Linked DNA regions of Drosophila melanogaster. The protein of the gene in region 1 interacts with the protein of each later gene in a pairwise test. Each region holds a gene or a part of one and is shown on either strand. Other genes may lie near its edges.

The links.
Region 2: the proteins of Gapdh2 (region 1) and unc-119 interact in a two-hybrid assay, tested with the Drosophila melanogaster proteins (one large-scale study listed by BioGRID).
Region 3: the proteins of Gapdh2 (region 1) and Yod1 interact in a two-hybrid assay, tested with the Drosophila melanogaster proteins (one large-scale study listed by BioGRID).
Region 4: the proteins of Gapdh2 (region 1) and Hsp60B interact in a two-hybrid assay, tested with the Drosophila melanogaster proteins (one large-scale study listed by BioGRID).

What each region holds. Positions count from the first base shown.
Region 1 is NC_004354.4:15,866,475-15,870,170, forward strand, and holds Gapdh2 (glyceraldehyde 3 phosphate dehydrogenase 2), read left to right. Parts: upstream 1-1,670; 5' UTR 1,671-1,769; intron 1,770-1,843; 5' UTR 1,844-1,861; coding exon 1,862-2,860; 3' UTR 2,861-3,187; downstream 3,188-3,696.
Region 2 is NC_004354.4:7,287,854-7,293,271, reverse strand, and holds unc-119 (unc-119), read left to right. Parts: upstream 1-1,973; 5' UTR 1,974-2,479; exon of another isoform or gene 2,480-2,483; intron 2,484-2,594; 5' UTR 2,595-2,706; intron 2,707-2,876; 5' UTR 2,877-3,021; coding exon 3,022-3,527; intron 3,528-3,593; coding exon 3,594-3,766; intron 3,767-4,007; coding exon 4,008-4,126; 3' UTR 4,127-4,905; downstream 4,906-5,418. Other genes in the region: CG2059 (uncharacterized protein), read right to left, coding at 5,223-5,361. UniProt on the Drosophila melanogaster protein: Myristoyl-binding protein that acts as a cargo adapter: specifically binds the myristoyl moiety of a subset of N-terminally myristoylated proteins and is required for their localization.
Region 3 is NT_037436.4:5,132,157-5,136,170, reverse strand, and holds Yod1 (Yod1 deubiquitinase), read right to left. Parts: upstream 2,301-4,014; 5' UTR 2,232-2,300; intron 1,952-2,231; exon of another isoform or gene 1,826-1,951; 5' UTR 1,781-1,825; coding exon 737-1,780; coding exon of another isoform or gene 665-736; 3' UTR 501-664; downstream 1-500. Other genes in the region: CG10674 (uncharacterized protein), read left to right, coding at 1-93, 161-331; CG15213 (uncharacterized protein), read left to right, coding at 3,026-3,043, 3,103-3,273. UniProt on the Drosophila melanogaster protein: Hydrolase that can remove conjugated ubiquitin from proteins and may therefore play an important regulatory role at the level of protein turnover by preventing degradation. Involved in the regulation of DNA damage repair.
Region 4 is NT_033779.5:726,442-731,069, forward strand, and holds Hsp60B (heat shock protein 60B), read left to right. Parts: upstream 1-1,920; 5' UTR 1,921-2,066; coding exon 2,067-4,013; 3' UTR 4,014-4,123; downstream 4,124-4,628. UniProt on the Drosophila melanogaster protein: Prevents misfolding and promotes the refolding and proper assembly of unfolded polypeptides generated under stress conditions.

The DNA.
Region 1 (3,696 bases):
GTTAGGAAGTCATCCTGGGATGTTAGCATAAAAGGCAATAACCCCACAAACTCGAAGGACAGTAAGACTTCCACAACATTGGCAGGTGTTTTATTCACTTTCAGGGATACTTTTCTAATCGGATCCTTTTTTTCGGTAATGTATAAATCTAGAAGTCATCTTTCAATGGATCTTAATGGTAAGATGTAAGCATTGTTTTTGACTTTGCTGCAATAATTTAGCACCAAGCTGAAATACATTTATCGTTTCAACAATATAAAGATGAGAGGTTAAAAAACAAGTGAAATGTTTGCTTATCAGTAAAACCGATGACTCACTGAAAAGGAACGAACTTTTTTGCCCAGCCCAAGTATTAATAAATAAACATGACGCACTAAAATATTTAATACTTATTCGAGAAATAATTTATAAAATGTAAAAGATAAGGCAACAGAAATGTTGAGTTCTTGTCAAATTGCATATTTCAACATTTTAATGTTGGCGCGCTTATTTGAATTTTCACTGCTATGTTCATAATTAAGGGTTGCACTGAAAACAAATCGATAAATATATAAAAAGAATGAAAAGAATAAAAAGAATGTTAAATGATTACAATATCGATTATTCAGTTTGGGGAAGGAGAAATGATTAATTTGCAGATACCTTTTTTTTTACTACAAATGATTGTATGAATAAAATACTCCCAAATTAATTGATTTTGATTATATATCGTTCGTATACATATGTTTTAATATTTATATAAACGGGATCTGCTGATTTTAAGAACATATGTATATACATGTTTATATATAATAAAAAAAGGTAAATGAATTCTGCGTGACTCAAAAGGTCACATTCACTTAGTTTTCATCATAAAGTTATACAATTTCGTTGTTATGGGTACATGGAATTTTGTGACTAACACTATTTATTACCATTAGCGTTTAAAATTCATGAAATTTGGATGCCTACTTGAGCTGTCAGGTGTTTTTCATTTTAACAATGGGATGACAACAGCACAATTGCTTAAATGAAATCATCAAAACGGATAATTTAATTACTTAGACAATTATTTCATCTAATATTGTAGTTATGCATAGAAGATATATACATATTTACATGTATATGTATCTTTGTACATATGTACATGTATTGTACAGATTAATGTCACGTACCGGCGAAACTTCAATTTGCTCAGAATATGACCTCTAAATTTTAATATTAATGAAATTGATGAATATGTATTTATGTGGGGATGTTAGGATTTTTCCATTTGCATTTACTTATGTACATATTTATGTACAATATAACCAATTGATGTTCATCAGACGTGCTCATATATGTGTATGTTTCGTGTGCCTATATATGCACGTATGTAATTGCCGGCAACTAAGCTCACAAGAAAGCTCAACTTCCGTCAACAAAATTGAGCAGGTGAAATGGCCATAAAAATATCCCAATAAACATTTGTCCGTATAAATTAAAAAATCCATATACTTTATAGGTCACTTTAACTGTCTAAGATCAGAAGTTTTTAAAGTTAAGCGTATCTTATGTACATATCTACTTATTATATTCATATAATGATGCTTGCAAAAAGTCTATTGGGTAGCATTGAGCTTTCACGTTACTGAGAGCAAAAGCTCTTTTTTATTGCGGTAGCCGCTCTCGAGCTTGACATGCACGTCCTTCATCTGACTTTGAACAATTTTTCGCCCGAGTTTTCGCCCATAGAAAGCGCTCAAAATTTCTCAGCCATCACAGTCGATTCCTTGCAAGCAAGCCGATAGGTAGTGTTTCCCTCAATTCCGCGGAAAACTTTCCAAGTACTAACTGCTTTACATATACATACATTACTTTCCAGATAAACAAAAAGTTAACCATGTCGAAGATTGGTATCAATGGATTTGGTCGCATCGGCCGCTTGGTTCTCCGCGCCGCCATTGATAAGGGCGCCAACGTTGTGGCCGTCAACGATCCCTTCATCGATGTGAACTACATGGTCTACCTGTTCAAGTTCGATTCGACCCACGGACGTTTTAAGGGCACCGTTGCCGCCGAGGGCGGTTTCCTGGTGGTCAACGGCCAGAAGATCACCGTCTTCAGCGAACGCGACCCGGCCAACATCAACTGGGCCAGCGCTGGTGCCGAATACATCGTGGAGTCCACTGGCGTGTTCACCACCATCGACAAGGCATCCACTCACTTGAAGGGCGGTGCCAAGAAGGTTATCATCTCGGCCCCATCCGCCGATGCTCCCATGTTCGTTTGCGGCGTCAACTTGGATGCCTACAAGCCCGACATGAAGGTGGTCTCCAACGCATCGTGCACCACCAACTGCTTGGCTCCTCTGGCCAAGGTGATCAACGACAACTTCGAGATCGTCGAGGGTCTGATGACCACCGTTCATGCCACCACCGCTACCCAGAAGACCGTCGATGGACCTTCCGGCAAGTTGTGGCGTGATGGACGTGGCGCTGCCCAGAACATCATTCCAGCTTCCACTGGAGCTGCCAAGGCCGTGGGCAAGGTTATCCCCGCCCTCAACGGTAAGCTCACCGGAATGGCATTCCGTGTGCCCACTCCCAACGTTTCCGTGGTCGATTTGACCGTGCGCTTGGGCAAGGGTGCGTCCTATGATGAAATTAAGGCCAAGGTTCAGGAGGCCGCCAACGGACCCCTGAAGGGTATCCTGGGATACACCGATGAGGAGGTCGTTTCTACCGATTTCCTCAGCGACACCCACTCGTCGGTGTTCGATGCCAAGGCTGGCATTTCGCTAAACGACAAGTTCGTGAAGCTGATCTCTTGGTACGACAACGAGTTTGGCTACTCCAACCGCGTCATCGACCTGATCAAGTACATGCAGAGCAAGGATTAAATGTGGAACACCAAGAACACTACCCACCCACACTCTACGTAAAAGTTAAAGATTAGGGCGCGGTAGAATGGGGTGAGACACTTCAGAAACGGCCTGAAAATGGCATCACATAACTTATATATATATTGCTCCCCGGTGGAGCATCACCTACATACATATGCGCTATGCTCTGAAATGCTACTGTTTTCGCTCTTCAATTACCAGCCACATTGGAAAATTATTAATATAATACATCCATTATACACATAAATATGTTTACTGTTGTTGAATAAAGTTTCACTCTGTGTGTAGTTTTAAAAATGCCGACTCATAAGCATTTAAATATTTATTTTTGCCTTTTTATTTGGTATAAACCGTTGAAATACCTAAAATAGTATGAGTATTACTTTAAATTGTTTTTTTCATTTGCTATATTTGGAAGTAATATATATATAACAGAAATGTGTCGATATTTTTTTTAAGTCGATTGGTTTTTGAATGATTACATAACTTGTTAAAGTTTTCAAATAATTTTAAATGAGCCTGATTCTATGGTATTGTTATCGGCAAAAATCGGGCTTTTACAGATTTCGATAAGAGCGACCTTAAACCCTTCAGTTGAAGCAATGTATAAACAGAAGTTATCGATATTTGGAGAGACTAACGGTGGCATATTGTCTGTGTAAGCCTGGCTTTTTGGATACATTTCTGAGAAAATAATGTTTCTCTGCCGATTTATATTTGCATAATTGGCAAATATAATCAAATATTTTGGTTGACTGCATCATTTCAACAGCACTTCACCATTATATCGTTATCGATATTTAATCGCTTGCTATACCGTCTTTTCGATTAAT
Region 2 (5,418 bases), 8.6 Mb from region 1:
ACTATGACCATAAGATCCCATTTATTAGATGCAACAAGCTTTGGAAAATATTTCTAGCCCCCTTTTTTTGTGCCACGCCCCTGTTCGGCCATTCGAGTACGAATATTATCGCCCACGATTTTTGGTTTTTGTTGCTGCTCTACTGTTTGTTTTCGATACCCAGGCACACAGACGCACACACAAACACGCATTGAAGTACACAGGAGGGGGTACTTGAGTTCTATGGCTCGAAAAGTTCTATGGTCCGTCCGTGAAAGAAAGAAATATTCAAACAAATTTCATCAACTAACAATCGAACGTTAAGTTTCATTTGCTATGTAAATGTAAATCGATCGGTGATAAGTCGGATGTAGCTACTATTTGGAAAAGCTTATATACATTAGTATGTATATAAATTCTGAAGAAAACAGGTTAAGTATTTTTGGGTTACCATCCTCTGGGCGAATAAAATTATCCTTAAAAGTGTCCTTTGATATAATTGAATAATATAGAGTTAGTACTTTTAAATTGGCCACCTGCTGCAGTCATTAAAAATTGGTTCGAAAATATTTAATCTCATGGAACAGCAAATTTAACTCAAATGAAACCGAATCCTGCCTATGGCATTTGCGCTGATACAAAAGATGGATTATCCCGCGAATTCCTTGGATCTTTTGTCGACCCTTTCGGCCTGTCAGATGGCATATTCCTCAGGTGCCCGGCTGTCTGCAGATTTTATGTGAGTTTTTGGGGGATAAATCAAGTGAGGGGCGGCGGTGCAAGGGGGGGGGGGTCAGTTTGGAGATCTCCAGTCAAACTGTACTAAAGATAGAGCCGAACACGTTCCCAGTGCTGCCACACAGATACACACCAATACCAATGTAAGAAACAAAAAAAAAAAAAAAAACTACAAAAAAAAAATACAGGAAACGCGGACGCCAATGGAGAAAAAAAAACAGGGGCAGGGGCAGGGGCAGTGGACAGTGGACGGGGGATAAGTGCATATGTGGCCCCTGAAACTTAACACTTCTTTGGCTCCGGCTGCGAATATTAAAATACCCACTTAAGGCCAACAATAACAGCGGCAAGAAGCAGAGAAAATGTGAAAAGGAGGAGCTAGAATTGAACTCAAGTACTTTCGTCTCGCACTGAAAGAAAAAAATACATTTATGTATGAATATGAAAAAAAAAACTATCTTAATATCATAGTGCTATTTTATTTACATGAAATCTATAAACTAAAATAGCGACTCACTAAGCGTGAAAAATCGAAATAGATCTAAATAATATTATAGCCAGCATTTCTCGCAGTGCACAAACATGATCTGGCATTGGCGCCCGTGCGTCTGAATATGGAAATCGAAATGGGTCCGAGTATGGGTGCGTTGTATATGGAATGGGATGGGATGTGGATAGGAGGACACTTGAGTTTTAGGCCGGGCTTATCTGCATTCTAGGCGAAGGGAGGGGAAGCGAAAGGAAAGGAAACCACTCGACGGCGCACTTGAGAAGCGGGAGAAGCAAGCGGCAGTCTGCTGCATGGATATTAACTAATTGTCGGCCACAAAAATGCATGGGAAGGCGATCGCAACACGCCATTTAACACATTTGCACGCTTCCAAAGTGTTTCCTTTTCGAATTTGCTTTGTATATAGTGGTTTACTCTGGCGAGTGACGGGGGTATATGCATTTTATTTTTTAGTTTGGGTTTTCAATTTAAGCTTAAGATGTGAAAATCTATACTTATACTTGTCTATACTCATTATTTCCGATTAAGCTTTCTGCAAACGTTCGCTTACTTTCGGTTATACAATAAATAATGTTAAAAATCTGAATAGCCTTTTTTCTAGATGTAAAATGTAGAATATTTTGAATATTGCGCCAACAGTGTGACCCCTGCTAGAACGCAGAAATGTTTTTTTGCGAGTATGTGGCAACGTTGGTCGTAAGTTTTTCCCCATGCGCGAACGGTCTCACCGATTTCCTGTAATGCATCATCGATAATCTATCGATTGCTGAGTAGTGCAAAAAAAGTGGGCAAAAAAGGTGCAATGTTTAGCGTTTAAGTGCGTTAAGTTGCTTTTGCGGACGACAACAACAACACCAGCAGCATTGCCGGTCAAATTGATCTAATTGATTTTCGGGCAGTGCCAACAGCAACTAAAACCAAATTAATAAATGAATCCCTGCGCATACATAAACATATAAAAACACACACACACACACATACATTCGCATAAAGGACGCGAACCGAAAAGGGAAAAACAAACACAAAGGAAAAAAAAAGGAAAAAGGAGAGCGCAGCTTTTTCAGAAATTGGGTCATTTGTTGTTGTTGTTGTTGTTGTTGCTGCTGTTGCTGGTGATTTTCAAACGAATTTCATTTGTTGCTGTCGTCGTCGGTTCGGTGTTGTTGTTGTTGTTGCTGTTGTTGCAATGGTCGTGGACGTTGTTGTCGCTGACAGCTAAATGTTATGGCAACACTTGCAACCTGAATTCGTGTGGGTAAGTAGTGTTTGCATTTATGTTGAATTTATTTTAACTTATATACCTTATACTTAACTTATTTTTGTGCTTTTCGCCAAATAACTATTCATATTTGGCAAAAATTAATAGTGAGGAGCGGAAAGCGAAAGGATAATAGGGTAGCGGAGACGAAGCCTTATATTTCCACCAGAAAATCCTGGCACAATTTATGACAACTCTACACTTGTGTGTGTTTGTGTTGGTGAGTAACTTAACAACTATGACTTCTTTTTTTTTTTTTTGCTATGTTAAAAAAAAAATGTGATATTTCATTATTCAGTTTAGTTTGAAGTAATAGAAATTCAAAAGTATTTGTGCTATATTTTATTATTTACTCCCTAATAACCAATGCCTATTCCTTTCTATTCGCAGAGTGAGACAGCGGAGTAGCTTCTTCAAATCAAAGGATACCACTGCAGCAGCCATCCAGCCAGGAGCCTTAAAAAAGCTGTTCAGCTTGAGAAATCCGAAACGCAGACTATAGACAAATAATACCACCAGATTCATTCCGTGCACAATGAGCGTGGTGGGTAAGCAACTAAATCCGGTGCAATCCTCCGGTGCAGGCGCAGTGACAACGTCTTCCTCCGCGGCCGCAGGATCCTCTTCTTCGAACAGTGGAGTGGAGGCCAACGGCGGCAGTGGAGGATCGTCGGGAGCTGCAGCAGCGGGCGCTGGTGCCTCCGGTGATGCCAAACGGCCTGCGGAGTCTTCCAGCGTGACTCCCGACGAGGTGCTCCATCTGACCAAGATCACGGACGACTATCTCTGCTCCGCCAATGCAAATGTGTTCGAGATTGATTTCACGCGGTTCAAGATTCGCGACCTGGAGAGCGGCGCTGTGCTCTTCGAGATCGCCAAACCGCCGAGTGAACAATATCCGGAAGGACTGTCCTCGGATGAAACCATGCTGGCGGCTGCCGAGAAATTGTCACTGGATGACACTGCCGATCCAAATGCCGGACGCTATGTGCGCTATCAGTTCACACCGGCATTTCTCAACCTCAAAACAGTGGGAGCCACGTAGGTTATACAGTATTTGCATTTGTTTTAAATGCCTCTCAATTTGTAAGTTTCCCTTATTTGCAGTGTGGAATTCACTGTGGGCAGCCAGCCGCTTAATAATTTTCGTATGATCGAACGCCACTTCTTCCGCGATCGCCTGCTAAAGACGTTTGACTTTGAGTTCGGCTTTTGCTTTCCATTTTCGAAGAATACGGTTGAGCACATCTACGAGTTTCCTAACCTTCCACCCGACCTAGGTGAGCAATTTTTACATAATCCCAGCCAGCATGACACGCAATTGAAAGTTGCTGCCAAAAGTTGAAGGGGTTTGTGGGTCAAGGTCGTTTACGATTTGCGCCTGTGAGATGAGGCTTCTATTGGTCAGATTGCGAGCAGCTATCATGGTTTTTATTTTTTGTTATCGGTTTGTAGGATGTGGACTTATTAATGAAATGCAATTCACATAAATATGTTCGTTCGTTTTCCATTTTTTTTTAGTTGCTGAGATGATATCGAGCCCCTTTGAGACGCGCTCGGACAGCTTTTACTTTGTGGGAAACCGACTCGTCATGCACAACAAAGCCGACTACGCCTACGATGGCGGCAATATAGTCTAGAAACTCAACTATAATGGAACTGCAACTAGAGCAAAACTAATAACTAAAGAACTAGAAACTACAGAAGCTGTGAGACAAAATCAATGACTTGTCACACACACACACACACGAAACACCCACTCAATGTCAACAATCACACTCACAAACACATCGAATCGAATCGAGGAATATTATCACAGCCATTTTAGCCTTAGCACACCAAAGTTTTACCCACCATTCCTGTTTGATGTATTTAGCATCAAGATATGATCTCCTGCAAACGGAAACTAACACACAAACACAACAACAACACACTGAAGCACGCGGATTGTGTTCATTTATCAATGATTTCCACTTTGACTATATAATTTTAAGTGCTATGTGATTTCCCTTGATTTATATATGTATTTGTACACACTTATTTAATCCTAATAAGTAAGGACACTCCACACACACACCCAACAAGAAACAACAAATACATATATATAAAATACGTACGTATACACACACGCACACACAGAACTTATGAGAAGCGAATTGGAAATTTTCAAAAAAAAAAAATTGAGGAAAATCCATTTGCCGTCAATTTTTGTATGCAGCATACGAAATCATACGAAATCTATCAGCTTCTTCATGGCATTTTTTTCGTGTCTGTGTATGTATATTTTTTAAACAAAAACCAAATGGAAAAAGACGAACGTAACTGGAAATCCAAAAAAAAAAAAACACTAACGATTACACGCCGAACAAGAATGATAAATTAAATTACATTTTAAATGTACATACACCACTATAAATTGAAACTTTTCTAAGGGGGTTAAATCGAGGGCATTTCGTGCACTAAAGGTGCTTAAGAAATTTATTATATTCTGAAAAATCATCAAGTTCAGAACGCTTATATCAAAAAAAAAAATATATATATTGCTATCCCGCTCTTTTCGGTGAAGATTCTTGAAGATCTGCGTAGATCGTTGAAGAATGTCTTCTCGAGTTCTGAAGTGAAATTAATTTGAATTCCCGTTCCCAAGAAAAACAAAGCGTTCACTTTCCAATTTAGCTAAAGTCGATCTACGCGATTGACTTCTTTGTACATTTGGTTAAAATATCAAAATTTGGTCTACTCAGTTCTATTCAGGAACTCGCTGACTATTGTTAGAAACTCCTGCGGCTTTTCAAAGTGCACTAAATGTCCGGCATCCAGCCAGTGGATCTCAGAATTGGGAAACATTTTCTGTATCTGTGGCCATTGCTCGCGTCTAATAAAGATGGCAAAAAGATTCAATTAGTTTAGTTTACTTAGCACCTCGGGATCC
Region 3 (4,014 bases), on another chromosome or scaffold:
CAGGGCCAGAGCGGCGGCGCCAACGAGGACATGATGCCGGATTACATGAACATTCTGGGCATGATTTTCTCCATGTGTGGACTGATGATGAAGGTAATAACACCCCAAAGATTACAACCAAGTGACTTGGCATTTATCAGTATGTAACCCACCTACACAGCTCAAGTGGTGCGCCTGGTTTGCGCTGTACTGCTCCTGCATTAGTTTCGCCAGTTCTCGGGCCAGCGACGATGCCAAACAGGTGCTCTCCTCCTTTATGTTGAGCGTCAGTGCGGTGGTGATGTCCTACCTCCAGAATCCCGCTGCCATGACCCCACCATGGGCTTCCTAGCACTGGACCTAAGATAACTATTTTAAATTTAATGTAATTGAACAGTTGAGAGCCTCGGTTTTGTTCGACGCTCAGTAAAAAAGTACGTACGTAGTTGGTTGCCTTGTGAATTCAGGACAGCTTTCTGGAACTTGACCTTATAGCTATATAGGTACCAACTCCAAGACTTGCCTAGTGTAGATGAAGGTATATTTTATTGCATTCCGAAAGGGATTAAAAGGGGACTAACATGAATACAGGCGGCTGGGCTCAATTCAATAATTAATAACTTAGGTAGGCGGTGATGTGGAGGTAGTACTGCTAATGAGATGACTCCTCGCACGGCGATTGTGGCTAGGTGGTGAGCAGGTAGTAGGCGAACAGCATGAATGCCACAATGTAGACGGTGCCGAAGATCAGGACGTATTAAATCTCTCCAAAGTTCTTGTGTCCGGTTTGCTTGGCATGCTCCTGGGCCTGCACCTGGCCGACCAGCCTGACATCGCACTGCATGCAGCGCAGCGTGAATTTATCCACATTGGTGTATTGGCGGGAGGACTGCGCCTCGTTGGCCAACTGCTCGGCCTGCTGATAGACGCCCAGCTCTTCCACCGGGAAGATGGTGGCCGGCGCAGCACTCGGCGATGTCTCCATGTACAGCGGATCGTAGTGGATGCCATCGAAGAGCAGGAAGACACGCAGTCCAAAGTTCTTGTCCTCGCCAAAGCGATTGATAATGGCGTTTTGTATGTCCACCACATCGATCTCAATGCCATAGTAGTTGGACAGTATGGACACTTCGATGGCGCCGCCCCACGAATCCGCCTTCTGTATCCAGGCGCAGTACTCGGCATTCGATTTGCCCAGCACGGCGTCGTTGTAGCTCTGCGGATCGGCGGCCACCTCCTGCGCAATGATGTGACGCATCATTTCGCTGCCCTCGTTGTCCACCTTCCCGTTGAGCACGAATCGTATGCTGGTGAAGAGGCACGAATTGTCCGCCGGCACCACCTTCTTCAGCAGTATGCCATTAAAGTCGCCATTCGGTCCGCTTTCCGTCGGCGCCACTGGCAGCTGGTAGTCTGCTGCCTGGGCGACTGGACCGCCAGCGGTTTCCTGCAGCAGCTGTGCCTCCTCCTCGGCCTGCAGACGACGCGCCAGCGCCTCGTCATCCTCCACGGTGGTGCCGCCAGGCACAGGGGCAGCAGGAGCAGGGGCAGCCTTCTCCTCCACAATCAGCGTCTCTCCGCTGTTGATTCCGACCGCCTTGAGGGCGCGCTGCTCCTGCTGCTGCGAGAGATCCAATGGCTTGGGCGGATAGCCTACTAGGACGTGCAATTGCGTCGCTTCGATGTCGGTGGCCTGGACTATTTTCGTTTTCAGCTCCCCCAGCGTCGTATGCTCGTTCAGGTCGTTGACAATGAATTGACCTTTTTTGGACTTGAGCTTCACACTGAACGAACCCGTCATTGTATCCGTTTGTTCTCTTCGTGTGGGCCTGCGATGGAAATTGGGCTAATTTTGAGTTGGTTTTTGTGTGCAATTGGATAACTGATAAATTTTGTAATTTGACTAATTTGTTTCTTTTTTTTTATTTGTTTGTTACAGCGTATCGATGCTATCGAATTTCGATATCTGTTGGTATTTTTTGTGCTTTAATATATAATTATAATCGATTAGTGCAGTGAGTAATGTTGTTGGCGAGGCCAATCGATTTTTTGTTCTCTTGCAAACTTTTTGATAAGAGTGGCAGCACTGGAAAATTGGCGCTATTTATTTAAATTTTCAAAAGTGGGAAAATCAAAGAGGAGATTTATGTATTTTCCTCTTTTCTACTCCATTTTGTAAATCTTGATTGATAATTATGGAAAGCAAATCTTAATTAAAATGTAAACACATTTAATTATAAGAATAAAATTACTTCGATTTTACAGATTTTAGCTTGGATGTGAAATATTTAGAAATTTACAAATAACTCTACATTCGACTTTTAATTTACTCAATGCAGCTAATTTCGAAAAGTTGGCAGGTCGGCATTTTCAAACCGCCTGCTTAAATTTAAATCTCAAAATCTTATCAATTTTGCGCAATGGGTTATTCGCCGTCTGCCAGCATACACACTTAAAAATATAACTATATTCGGATAATTCAGCTACTCTAGCCTATTATGGAGGTGTGAACGAAAAGCTAATGGCTGATCTGAACGTTAAGGCCAATGTCAAGTTGCTAATTAATATTTAGCAGAGATTCCGCTCGCAGCTAATGGCCAAGTCAAATAGAACCCAGAACCAAGGAAACACCGATTAGCAAAAAGAAGTGAAGCCGGAGAAACCGCAAGTCAACAAATTGCCCAAACATAAGGCGTCGCAAGTTCAACAATGGCACCACAATAAGGTAATCTACTTGGCTACGAAAAAGGGAACCTGGCTTTTGTTATCACATTGCGTGTTGGACTAAAATCACTTTTAATAGTCCAAACAGATTGATATACCACCCCGCCCGCCGACATGTGAATCACTGAATCTTTGGCTGATGCTTCGCGTTGTTTTAGTTTCTATGAAAGACGAGCGGTCTGCCGGCCGAGCAACTCACTCTCAACTGAACAGGCATATAAATAGACGGGTCGGCGGGGTCTGGTGATCAGTGCAAGCAGGTCTGTCAACGCGCAGTGCGAATCCATCGATCGATTACTACATACATCTAGCCACATACAACATGAAGTTCTTGCTCCTGGTGCGTCACTAAAAATCGACACGGAATACCAAGGAACTTTACTGACCCTTCCTTTACAGAGCGTCTTCCTTTGCCTTGCCGTGTGCTTCATGGCCACCAGTGCTGCTCCTCGCGAGGAGGCCATTCCCGATGGCTTCGAAGGTCCTGGCAGTGAGTCCGTCAACCCATCCGACGACCAATCCTTCCTGCTCAAGCTGAAGCTGCTCAAGAAGCTGCTGTTCCTGGGCTAGACACCACACCCTCACATTTATGGATTTATAGTTTAACTTAACATGTGTTTAGGTTTTTAAGAAGAAAAACAAGAGTGAAATTAAAGAAAGTATTTGGTAACGAAACCTTTACTTATTCATTTTTTATTGCAAGGTTAAAACAAAATGGTGCCCAAAAAAAAAACAAGTTCGCTTCTTAAGTCTTTTGTTTGAAGAGGTCCAACCTTCAATTCCAAATAATTTTCTTTTTTTACGATCACATTAAAATCATTCCTAATACTACTAATACACCTGAATGTTAAAATTTATGGTAAGTTGAAAGGCTGGAACCATGTGCTTCAACTTGATGGCAATCATGTCCGATTTTTCGTGACCAGCTCTCAATATGTCAATATGTGATGAGTTATCGTTACTTTTTACATAATTTTGATACTTGAAAATATTTAATATATTATATTTAGTTAAGCTATAATATTACTGGCATATCAAGTTAACTAATCATGCCAATTAATGAAAGTAGGTATGATCATTAATCTCACAGTGGGCTCCTTGTATTAGCACATCATTGAACCCACTTGATTCATTTACGACTGAGATTGGCCAATATTTATACGCATGTAAGGAAGATTCCGTTCGCTTTTCACACTCTCTACCCAGAAACGATCCGAAACGGGTTTCTTATTCAGATCTAGGCAAACAAAAACCCGACCCGCTGCCAGTCATTAGCTCCTTTTTGGACACACATGGAGATCTCATCCCCGA
Region 4 (4,628 bases), on another chromosome or scaffold:
CTGCGATTTTCGATCGGTGCCAGTTGCTTATACGACACGGTGGCCGGTCGAACTGGTGGGCTCCAGCTCCCAGCTCCCAGCTCCCAGCTCCCAGCCTCAGTCAAATCGAGTCAAAAAGTTAATTACAGTGAATGCGGCCAACGATTTTCATGCACTCTTGACACCGCCCGGTACGTGACAATATGAGAGGCACTCATTCCGCGACGCAGAGTTGGCCACAGTTGGGTCAAAAAAACTAGGGGGGCAAAGGCTAAATTGAGGCTAAGCTTTAGCTGCCTCATTACACTCAGAAATATGCACTAACAGCTAGCGTATGGCCAGAATTGAAACATGACACACACATTTTATATGCCCGTTAATTACTGTAATTCAAGATCAAAATTATTGGCCATTTAAAATTGTTGAACCTGATAATTTGCTATGACGACCACCAAATTATTTATTTTAGTGCAGTTCATCGATAGATCGCTCCCATCAGCTCAATCTGCACTTGGCTGCCCCAGATCCCAGATCCAGGAATTTCGTCTGCCTGGTACTTACGCAAATGCTCAGATTGAACTGCCAGTCTATCGTCTGCAGTCTATCCATTTCTCATTAAAACTTTCTTTGCTGTCTGCTCCACAATTACCCGAACGACTTCATCTGCTCGATCCACGGATCCATCCGCGGGTAATGACAGAGCCGGCAAAAAATCTGCCAAAACCAATAGGAAATCATCAGCCAACGGTCAGTGGGTTAATTTTGGCCCACCAAAAATACTGAAATGAATTGGAGAATCCCCGAAGATGGCCTGCAATTAATCATAGATTGAGGCTTATTCGCTATCCAGCGAAAGTAATTTGTAGCCGACAAGAGACCCTGCAGATCGCTTGTAGTTACGATTATCGCACAGCCCACCAGGTGGTCTTCCCACCATGGACACTTTCACATGTCGCAGAGTTGGCGCAGATGGGGAGAAAGGTTGCGAGAGGAAGAAGAGTCGTCGAACATGCAAATGCCTCATCAATCAGCTCCTCCGCCCTTCCCCTTCAAATCGGTGACGTGCTTTTGACACAAAACCCGGCTACTGTGCTACCGCTTGCACATGGCAATCAACGCGTCAAGCGGCCAGGAAACGGATCCCGATTCCGACCCCAGTTCCAATTCCCGTCTGCGGCACACAGAAAAAAGTTATACCTACTGAACTAAATGTGACATTATTTTATACGTATAGAATACGAGAGATAGCTCATATAAATCGCATTGAATTTATATGCAAACCTATTTCTAAACATTCATACCTAAGTGCAATTCATCGTGCGAAAGTAATGCCTTCTTGCGCGCTGTGCACCCAACATTTTCATCCCATCTCCATTTCCATCTCCGCCTCAAACTCCCCATTTCCATTTCCATTTGCCGTTTGGCTTGCAGCAAAATGTGTGAATTTCTTTAGTTTGCAGTAGGCAGCACACAATTTTTGACAGCTGCCTTCGAAATGGGAACGGTCAGCCGAGGAAAATGCATCCATCCTCCGGTGCAGAACAGTCGCACCGCAGTTCTGGGAAATCTGCACACGCTGGTCTTGTTTGTGGGTCAGCCTCAGCCGATGGAGGCGAATAGAACTGCAAATGGGCAGACTCCACCCAGAATGTCGGGGCTTATTAGCTGCACGCTAATTTATTCCGGCAAACAGAAGGCACGGCTTCTGTTGTCGAAGATTTCAGAGCCGCAGATCGCAGACGGGCAGGCGCCAGACAAATGAATGTTGTGAAATCTGGCGATTGCCTGGAAACTTGTCCGCAAAGAGAAAAAAGAAAAAAGAGAAAAGTGCTCAAGGAAAAGCAATATAAATAAAGAAGAATGGCTTGCACATGTTACATAAAACGAGAAGCTTAAAGATAATGGAAACAAAATTTGGATTTGAATATGGGAGTAGGCCTTGAACGAGTCCGTCTAGTCCGTCAGTATCGAGTCAACAACCTACATATTAGTTGCACTCACTTCGTGTCTGAGATCAAACGAAAAAATATTAGAACCAAAAGTTTTGAAAGTTTTTTTTTTATTATAGTTTCAAACTTAAGTGCAAAATGTTTCGGTCGTGTGTGCCCAAGGCGATTACCTCTAGTCGCTGTTTCGCGCGGATGTACTCGAAGGACGTGCGCTTTGGCTCCGGAGTACGGGCAATGATGATCCGGGGCGTTGATATTCTGGCTGATGCCGTTGCTGTGACCATGGGGCCCAAGGGTCGCAGTGTGATCGTGGAGCGACCATGGACCTCGCCGAAGATCACCAAGGACGGCTTCACGGTCGCGCGCTCGATTGCCCTAAAGGACCAGCACATGAATCTGGGCGCCAAGTTGGTCCAGGATGTGGCCGATAATACGAATGAGTCGGCGGGTGACGGCACGACCACAGCAACAGTTTTGGCTCGAGCGATTGCCAAGGAAGGATTCAATCAGATTACCATGGGGGCTAATCCCGTGGAGATTCGTCGAGGTGTCATGTTAGCTGTTGACGTCGTAAAGGACAAGCTGAAGGAAATGTCCAAGGCAGTGGAAACGCGTGAGGAGATCCAACAAGTAGCCACCCTCTCCGCGAACGGGGATACTGAAATTGGGCGGCTCATTGGTGAGGCCACCGACAAAGTGGGTCCAAGAGGAACTATTACTGTAAAGGATGGCAAGCGCCTGAAGGACGAGCTAAATATTATCCAGGGCCTGCGCTTCGACAACGGCTATGTGTCGCCCTTTTTCGTAAACAGCTCCAAGGGGTCCAAGGTGGAGTTTGCCAACGCCCTTGTAATGATATCCCTGAAGAAGATCACTGGACTCTCGCAAATAGTTAAAGGTCTGGAGCAATCCCTGAGGCAGCGTCGTCCCCTGATCATCATAGCCGAGGACATCAGCGGGGAAGCCCTCAATGCTTTGGTCCTGAACAAGCTCAGGTTGGGCCTCCAGGTGTGCGCCGTCAAATCGCCCAGCTATGGACACCACCGCAAGGAGCTTATAGGCGATATATCCGCTGCCACGGGAGCAACTATTTTCGGCGATGACATCAACTATTCCAAAATGGAGGAGGCTAAGCTGGAGGATCTGGGTCAGGTTGGCGAGGCTGTGATTAGCAAGGACAGCACCATGCTCCTGCAGGGCAAACCCAAGACAGGACTTTTGGAAATGCGCATCCAGCAAATTCAAGATGAACTGGCGGAAAAGCAAATCAAGCCAGAGCAGCGGGATCGTCTGCGCCAACGCCTCTCCGCCCTCACGAAGGGCGTGGCAGTGCTGCACATTGGTGGAGGCAGTGAAGTTGAGGTGAATGAGAAAAAGGACCGTGTGGTGGACGCCTTGAATGCCACTCGAGCGGCCATCGAAGAGGGAATTGTCCCAGGTGGCGGTACGGCCTTTTTGCGCTGCATTCCCTACCTCCAGGAACTCAAAACGGAGAGTGCAGATCTCCAGAAGGGCGTCGATATCGTCTGCAATGCCCTGAGGATGCCTTGCCAGACCATAGCTCAAAACGCCGGAGTTGATGGCCCAATGGTGGTGGCCAAGGTGTTGAATGGCTCGGAAGACTACGGCTACGATGCCATGGGCGATGAGTACTGTCGGCTGGTCGAGAAGGGCATTATTGATCCCACAAAGGTGCTGCGGACCGCCATCACGGATGCAGCTGGAGTGGCCTCTCTTCTGAGCACCACCGAGGTGGTTATCACCGACTCCCGGAACGATGATCTTTTGTCCAAGTTGTCAGGAGCTGGCGGCGGAATGGATGATGGACTGGACATGAACATGGGTGGCTTAGAGGAGCTGGCAGCCTTAAGTGGATTGGGTGGCATGGGTGGTATGGGAGGCATGGGTGGTATGGGAGGTATGGGAGGAATGGGAGGTGGATTCGGCGGAATGGGCGCTGGTGGCGGAATGAGCGCTTCTGCCAGCAATGACGGTCCCACTGCCGAGGAGATGAATGAAATGGTCAAGGCTATTCCCGGCATGGAGCAAGTAGAGGTGCGTGACATTGACAGTGGGATGATGTAGAACCCGCTTCCGTTATCCGCTCCAGCTCAAATCGTTTCTATAGTTCAAATATCTGTTGAGTGTCTAAATTTTATGTGTTCATCTAAAATATAAATTGACAATCGAAAACGAATTGTATAAAACAGTCGGGAACCCTTCCAAATGACTTGAGAAAGTGAATTATTGGCCTTTTCCCTACACCAGCAGTTTTCTGGCCAAATATCTTTCAACCGGTTCATTATGCTGGTCTGCAAAAAGCTACACTTCCTTCACACTTTCGGTTTTTAATTGCAGCCGAAAATTTGGAACGGCGACCGGCAGAGCGAATCCAGCTGCAATGCGATGATCATTTGCATAAAACAAACAGCAATTTCTCACACATGTGAGCCGACCCTCGGTTTTTTCCCCCGTACTTTGCATGGTTTGTGTTTGCAGATTTCATTTGTGGCCCGCAGCTAAAAAAGCGATTCGTTACATGAGAGTGAGTGCGCAAGAAGGGGGGCCTGAGGCTGGGAGCCTCCACAAGAGCGTCACATCAAACATGCATCAATAAATAAGTAATTCCAATTTGCAAATTTTTCATCGAGGCCCGCAAACGAACCGAAAATGGTGGACGGACCCATCGAGCATCGAGCG